Linked DNA regions of Saccharomyces cerevisiae S288C. Changing the gene in region 2 together with the main gene of any one other region gives a genetic interaction. Each region holds a gene or a part of one and is shown on either strand. Other genes may lie near its edges. The genes, in order: GPC1 and GDE1.

Region 1 (3,933 bases), on a different chromosome or scaffold from region 2:
GACCACGGAAGACCTCAACTTAATAATGCATGATATATGGTATATTACATGTTTGAGGCACAAAATCATGATGGACACCACGTTATATGAGCTGGTGATGAAAGCCGCTATAGAATTTCAAAATGAGGACTTAGCAAAGAAAGTATGGAATGATAGGGGTAAATTTAGGACGACTGTACCGTTTCTGAAAATGGACCAAAGAATAAGAATAGCAAAGGATCAGAAATTTGCCCATCTAATGGTTGAATTCTTCACAAAGCAAGGAAAGTATTCGGACGCAATAGCTATCATATTGTCTTCAAAAAATCGCTTCAATTGGACTTATTCCATGGTTAGGAATTTGCATAAAGCATTAGAAGAAATCGAGGATAGAAATAGCGTTGAAATCTTACTGGATGTAGTAAACAAAAAGTCACACGCAAAGGCCCTGAAGTGGGAGGAACAAGAACTTAACATGTAGTCATTAGACTAAAAGTGATTATATATCAAGAAACGACATATACGCGTCCATGCATGCACATATATATATATAGTAAAGCGCCTGTAAATAAAAGCTCTCAAAGTTAACAGATAAATGAAGTGAACTATCTTAATCACTCTTTGAGGATACACTTGAAGAGTCGTCAAAATCTTCGTCACGGTTGACATTCAAGTAATCCTTATCATTCACGGAGGCATCAGATATGACTGCATCAGAATCAGGCTGTAACTTTTGTTGTAAATTCTCAACTTCAAGACGTAATCTATCAACTTCTTTTTCGAAATTCTTCCCGTAGTGGTCGATATAGTAGGTAGCCCCATTATGAGACGCCCATAGAAATACTATAGTTAAAAATAGGGCCGCAGCTAATTTGTAACGAATCCATATGCCACACAATAGCATAGTGAATAGTTGATAGAAATATTGAGAAAGTGTGTAAATTATCATCGGCCAAGGTGACCTTAATTTAACTGCCCAAAAGTTTTTAAATTGGTGTGTGGTTAAATATTCAAAACTTGTCATTCTTTCCCCTGACTTGATCTTGCTAGACTTTTTCAACGTGATGAAGTAATGGTATAATGATTGCCAAACCAAATAATAAAGGGATGTCCAAAGAATATTTTTTTTGATGTCCAATTCACTTTGAATAATTGCTCCCGGAAACCTTTCGATTTTGTATTCGAGTGGTAATCCATGATAGATGACGTACATGACACAGGGAGGTATTATGTGAATGAAGCATGAAGTAGTCTTATCTATAGAATGTATTACCAAGGAATTTCTCCAAGTAATAACGGCAAAGCATAACGTTCCGAAAGTGAATGCAAAACATGACTGGAAAAGGCTGTATGAATATGGGAAAATCCAAATAAACAATAGGCATAGCATGTTCACAAAGTAACAAAAATCAGCCAGAAAGTAGTGGTTTTTGGTTTTATAGTATGTGTAAAAACGTATGGGCATCAGAACGAAGAACAGGATGGTATAGTAAACATGAAACCATTCTGGAAACCTGCCCATCAAAAATCCGATGAAAAATATATTAAACAGTGTGAAAGGGTAAAATGCTTTCTCCAACCTTGAGCTGTTTTTGAAAAAAATGGAATCCAAGGGTTTATCCAGATTCCTAATTCTTTGTAACGCTCTTACTTTGAAGTCCTCTAATTGCAAGAAAGAGCGACTTCTATTCAGGTGATGTGGATGATGACTATCATGTTCATGATGGGGTTTACGTCTTCTAAAACCCTCAAAATTTCGCAATTTCTGTTCTGCTTTCGAAAGATGAGAACCATGGTAGTATTTTGAAACTACTTTTGAAGCGATCGGGTCGAGAAATTCTAAAAGGCTCGTCAGTGAAACAGAGTTATTCGTTTCATCGTCAATGTCGTTATTGTCCAACTTGTACATTACGATAAAGATAGCGATGAGTGCCACTCTAAATGGTATCACAATGTGGAGATAATTTTTTGTTAAATGGGAGCTTTTATGATGTCAAAGCTTCTCTATTGAATATACCTTATATTACTATTGATATATATTTGTTATCCGCTAAACCCATTTAGGGGTTGATATGTCTAAAAAAAGCCAGCATTTGATCTGCTTGTGAATATTCGGCGAAGTCACACATAATGCGAGATAATTTTCAAAATTATAATGCCAAACCGAAATACAGCCATACGTAATTTGGTGGCCTAATATGCCTGGTGTGCTGGATAAGATATTATGTTAATGAAATATTTGTACGTACATCCGTTTGTGCGTATGTATATGTGTGTGTAAAATGTACATTGTCCAAGCTTTCCACAACTCCTATTATCGCTAGTGTTGGCAGGATTATTTGTTTGAAAATAGCATATATCTCGTTATGTGAAACTTTGCCAAACAATATTCCTTACAACATCCGTGCATACTCTAAACCCAATCACTAATTTTCAATTTTTAAAAACTTTATACTCTGTACTGCGGCAATTAAGGCTTTCGCGTCGTTGAGCGCGCAACACTACCGGGGGTTCCTTACCGTGAGCCTGCGCCTCTGTAGGAGAATGTAGAGGTTCCCGTTGAGGGAACTCCAGCCATGGGTTGACGGGAGTTCCCGTTTGGCCTGATTGCTCTTGCGCAGTTGACATCTAGCCAGAAACAGTAGTAGTGGGAGTTGATATTACCAATATTTACAGGTAACCTATATTGATTAACTAAATTATAGGCGTTTAAATTTTTGGGTGGTCAACAAAAGAGGCGAGCAACAATTTGAATTGAAACGTATGTCGCGTGCCCATTAGGAAATGAGAGAATATTGAGGACAACGAGGAGCTTCGCAGTGTAGGAATTGAGAAAGAAGCGACCATTTGAACAATGCTGAGGTTAATAAGAGGCCCACGATAAAGGCGTTATATTAATCAACGTTGAACATCTTCCCAGAAAAGTACATGCGAATAAATCAGGACCGTCGAAAGACGTACGGAACATCATTGGCAAATATACATCGGGATCTGTTGGATATGCTTGTCGTGATGAAATACTGTTCTCGTTGTCGGCTTGATAAATTTTCTCCCATTTAAAACTCTTTGAACCAAAATTGTGTACTAACATCAATTTGTATATAAACCATGAGTGTATTTCACCTTGTGGTTTTTCACAGCTTTTTAATTTAGAAGAACAATGAAGGTTGAAGTTGATTCCTTTTCCGGCGCTAAGATCTACCCAGGTAGAGGTACTTTATTTGTCCGTGGTGACTCCAAAATTTTCAGATTCCAAAACTCCAAATCTGCTTCTTTGTTCAAACAAAGAAAGAACCCAAGAAGAATCGCTTGGACCGTCTTGTTCAGAAAGCATCACAAGAAGGGTATCACCGAAGAAGTTGCTAAGAAGAGATCTAGAAAGACCGTTAAGGCGCAAAGACCAATCACTGGTGCTTCTTTGGACTTGATCAAGGAAAGAAGATCTTTGAAGCCAGAAGTTAGAAAAGCTAACAGAGAAGAAAAATTGAAAGCCAACAAGGAAAAGAAGAGAGCTGAAAAGGCTGCTAGAAAGGCTGAAAAGGCTAAGTCCGCTGGTGTCCAAGGTTCCAAGGTTTCCAAGCAACAAGCTAAGGGTGCTTTCCAAAAGGTTGCCGCCACTTCCCGTTAAGATAATTAACTTTTGTTAGTTTTTTATTAATAATATATCATTACAAGAAAAATGAAATAAAAAAATAAAAACGTGATCCGTACTTATTTTTGTGTTAAGTATCAAATAATATAATATATAAAAGACCGTGATACAATAGAAATCTGCGTTACGTTGAAAACGTCATAAAGGTATCTTTGGGATGAGCAGTTGTTATTGTTCATGATCGTTACCCGGCTTCAAGTGGATTTTCACGAAGCCTATGGGCTTGACATTTACATGATATCACATCTTTAAGAACAAGGGAAAACCAAAGTTAAAAAGTAGCATAAATTCCTCTTAGATCG
Region 2 (3,933 bases):
CAGTTCGTCTCTGATTTGAACCATATCAGCAATGTGCAAATGACCGCGCAATACCGCGTGCTCCATCGGCGTCCACCCACCTTCATCTTCAATATCAAAGTTCGCGTTGTTGGCTATCAAGAGCTTTACAATGTCCGTAAACCCTTCTGCTGCTGCAACGAAGATAGCTGTCCAGCCAAAAAGTTTTTCTCTTATTTCAAGGTCGGCTCCATTGTACAACAAACACACAGCAGCTTCGAAAAAATTTAATCTACAAGCAAGATATAGCGGTGTTTCATGTAATTCGTTGTCTTGATAATTAATATCAAACCTTTTTGATGATAGGAGAACATGTAAAAGGGGATAGTTATTCCACTCAGTGGCCAAATGTAACAAACTTGAACTTTTTAATTTCACGTTCGGATCCAAAGATTGCAATAAGACTTCTGTTGTTTTGGGATGAGCACCCAACACACATAAATGTAAAGGTGTCAATGATTCGGCATCTCCGAACGCGGAAACGTCATCAATAGGGATTTCATTCCAGATATTCCATTCTTTCATTAACTTGATAATCAACTTCGTAACTTCAGATAAGCCATACTGGCAAGAATAATGCAAGGGCGTTCTCTTGTAATTATCATGCTGAAAAAGGCATGGTCTTAAATGAATTGGTAACTCCTCTAAAATATAAGAGAGTGTACAGGCCGAACTTTTTTCCTCCTCTGTAATGCTATCTGATTCTGCCGGGGCAGATAGGGTCGTATGCAGGGTTCTTAAATCTGTTACAATTTCTCCCTCACTATTAGTATATTTTGAGGGTTGTGACTTCTTTTTCCTACTTAAAATTTCCTGTTTTCTGATTAACTTCCCGATTGCAATTATGTGATGATGGAAAAAATTTCTTCTGTTAATATCTTCCGAGTCATTTAGAGACGGAATAACCTTTAAGATAGCATCAATACATGCCAGTGATTTAGACAGTGCTGCCTTGTTTAAAACACTTATCATAATTCTTGTTGGAATCAAAGACAATTCCGAATATAGGTTTGTTAGCTCTCTAATCAATCCTTTGCTATCATCTTCTTCTATAAAAACGCAAATAATCTTAAAGAATTCTGTATTATCATTAGCATTTGCGTTCGGCGAGGTACTCCTCATTACTCTCTCGTAAGAATTTATCCTGAACGTCACTTGTTCCCAGATAGTTTTTAGCAAACTCAAATCTTTGGTAATAAGAGAATCATTAGCAAATTGTAACGGCAAGATTCTAGTTTTCATAGTTGACATTTGCTGATTTGTGCCGACTTTTTTATCCAGTTTCTTTAAAATCTTACCAAAAGCTCTCTTATTTAGTTCAGCGTACCACTTTAAGTTTCTAAATTGTTTTCTTAACTCAGCTAAGATAGACTGAATTTCAATTAAGTCATCTTTATGGTAAGATAGACGGCTGGCTTGACTTGTTCCCTTTAAAAGCATATTCATCTCTCTCGTATCCTTTGTGAGTAAGGTTTGCGCTACTGCATCTTCTTTGTTGGCATCGACCACTAATGTTGATTTTATCTCATTGAATTGATTAGAAGAAAGCAATCTCTCAAATCTTTTCTTATATTCCGCATACTGGGAATTGTAAAATGTATCAACCTTCTCAATATCCCTGTCAACTGCAAAGAAAAACGACGCCAATAACTTTTGGATTTTTGGAGAGTCCAAATAATTTTGAGCACTATTAGATGAATCTCTCATTTTTGTTGGTGGCCTGCCTTCATCATAGCTATTCTTGTTATGTGCCCTATATATGTCTTCTTGAAGTCTTGTAATTTCTTTAATCATTTTCTTCAACGACTTGTAGCCAACATATTGACTTGACCACTCTGGAATGCGATGATTGGCAAAGGTTTTTCCGAACTTCATTGATTATATTGTTTGATTATATAAAGACCTTACAGTTTCAGTAGTTTGTCACCTTAGTTGGAGATAGTGGCTATTTTTGTGTAATTTGATGAGGGTTCCCTTCTTAGTTGGGTTTAAATTTTTTGCTACCGTTGCCTTATTGTTCAATGAAGCACTAATTGCAAAACTTAAACTCTTTAATAGTCTCACTTTGTAAGACAATAATTTATTTTTTACTTCTGTCAGCCAACGCTCTCTTTTTAATATAATGTGCACGTTCTAAAAATAATTCTCTTATTCAGTTGGCGCTATTAAGTGAATTAGAAACGTTTTGACGAAATTTACTATTAAAAGAACACTACGAGTCGATAATGACAGCACTGGTCTAAATTTCAGCTAGAGCAACAGCAAATTATTATTTGTCACTTAAATAAACTTGGTCGTTTTTTTGGAGAGCTAATATGTTGGGACAGCGTGTGTAACATTGCTCCACCTGCGAACACGTGGAAGTCGCAATTATAAAAGATGCATAAAAAGAAAGAATATTAATAATTAGGACACAATTGATCAGTCCTGACAAGATCGTATATTTGCTTCATCGAGAGATGCATTAATTGACGCACTTCTAAACCAACCCATATCTTGAGCATTGATAATGTGCTTGCATCTTTCAAGAGACTTTTGGCTTCCCGCTTAAACCCGAATTCACGTAATATAGGCAGCGAACTGTTTACGAAGAGAAGTTACAAGATGTGGGTATTTTTGTTAGTAAAAGAATTTCTTTAGTAGCAATAAAAAGCAAAAAAAAGCAATAGAAAAGGGTTTTAAAAAATTGATGTTATTCTTTAAAACCGTTAATCCATGCGTAAAATACGAACCTTTCAAATAAGTCCAAGTTTGGATCTAACTGGCGTCCAATACCCTCTAGAAGTAAAATAGCGACCACCACGGAAACAAAGTCGGACTCCATTCTAACATGGTGCGACCTTACCATACTAAGCATTTGATCGAGTAAATCGCCAATTGAGACGGTTCCCAATGTAAATGTTCTTTGTTTAACTTTATCCACTAGCTTTTCTACCTTAAACGCAAATACTTCCTTATCAATAGCTGTTTCTGGAGTTCTTGATCTCTCAATCATCAACTCACCAGCTCTATAACCATCAAATCGGGCCAATGCGTTGAATAGAGCTATGAAATTAATTCTGTTTTTTTCATTCAATTCTGTAATTATTCCTGTATCGATAAAACAAATTTGGGGAGTGTAATTAGTTAATACAGACTTCAGTTTTCCAACAAAGTCCTGATCTTGGTCCTCCTCTATCTTCTTCCTCAGGTCGTGCGTTATTCTGTACGATTCAAGTTCGGAGGATATAATGTTTGTGCCGTATTTGTTCGTCTTCACAAATCTGATTATAACATTGCCTGGATGCAAATCAGCATGAACAAAATCATCAAGAATTAGCATTTGTAGAAACGCGTCAACGAAGGGATCACTGACTTTTTTACAAAGTTCAACGTCGTTAATTTGCTTCTTCGTAGATAAAAACTTTTCCATGGAAAGACCATATACATGCTCTTCGAACATAACATCCCTATTTGACAAGGGGAGAAATGGTTTAGGAAATTTCACCTGAATAGAATTTTTAAAGTTCTCATTGAATCTTTCCAGGTTTAACGCCTCAATTCTTAGATCCAACTGAATATTCATTAATATGGAAAACTGATCGACTTCGCTGGGTAAAGACAGCCATTCCATAGTCGGAATCCAATTTATTGCGTCAGCACAGAATTTCATTATTTTCAAATCTCTCCGGATCTGAGATCTTACATTTGGATGCAAGATCTTGATGGCACACCAACGATTTCCATCCTTACCAATTTGTATATTGTCATATTTATCGATGTACTTTTGGGATAGTTCACCCACGTAAACTTGTGCGATGGACCCAACTCCAATTGGTGTTCGATTAAATTCATCAAAAGCATCTTCGATCTTGTCAACCTTTAATGCTTGAGAAAGTTTTTCCAGAGTAAAGCTTAGAGAGTGAGCTGTAACGT

The links.
Region 1: of GDE1 (region 2) and GPC1, changing one enhances a phenotype caused by changing the other (phenotypic enhancement), as found in Saccharomyces cerevisiae (one study listed by BioGRID).

What each region holds. Positions count from the first base shown.
Region 1 is NC_001139.9:786,986-790,918, reverse strand, and holds GPC1 (glycerophosphocholine acyltransferase), read right to left. Parts: upstream 1,889-3,933; coding exon 590-1,888; downstream 1-589. Other genes in the region: CCM1 (Ccm1p), read left to right, coding at 1-460; 60S ribosomal protein eL24 RPL24B, read left to right, coding at 3,140-3,607. UniProt on the Saccharomyces cerevisiae protein: Glycerophosphocholine acyltransferase (GPCAT) that utilizes acyl-CoA to acylate glycero-3-phosphocholine (GPC), forming lysophosphatidylcholine (LPC).
Region 2 is NC_001148.4:342,847-346,779, forward strand, and holds the start of GDE1 (glycerophosphocholine phosphodiesterase), read right to left. Parts: upstream 1,894-3,933; coding exon 1-1,893. Other genes in the region: CQD1 (Cqd1p), read right to left, coding at 2,418-2,598, 2,751-3,933. UniProt on the Saccharomyces cerevisiae protein: Glycerophosphocholine glycerophosphodiesterase responsible for the hydrolysis of intracellular glycerophosphocholine into glycerol-phosphate and choline. The choline is used for phosphatidyl-choline synthesis.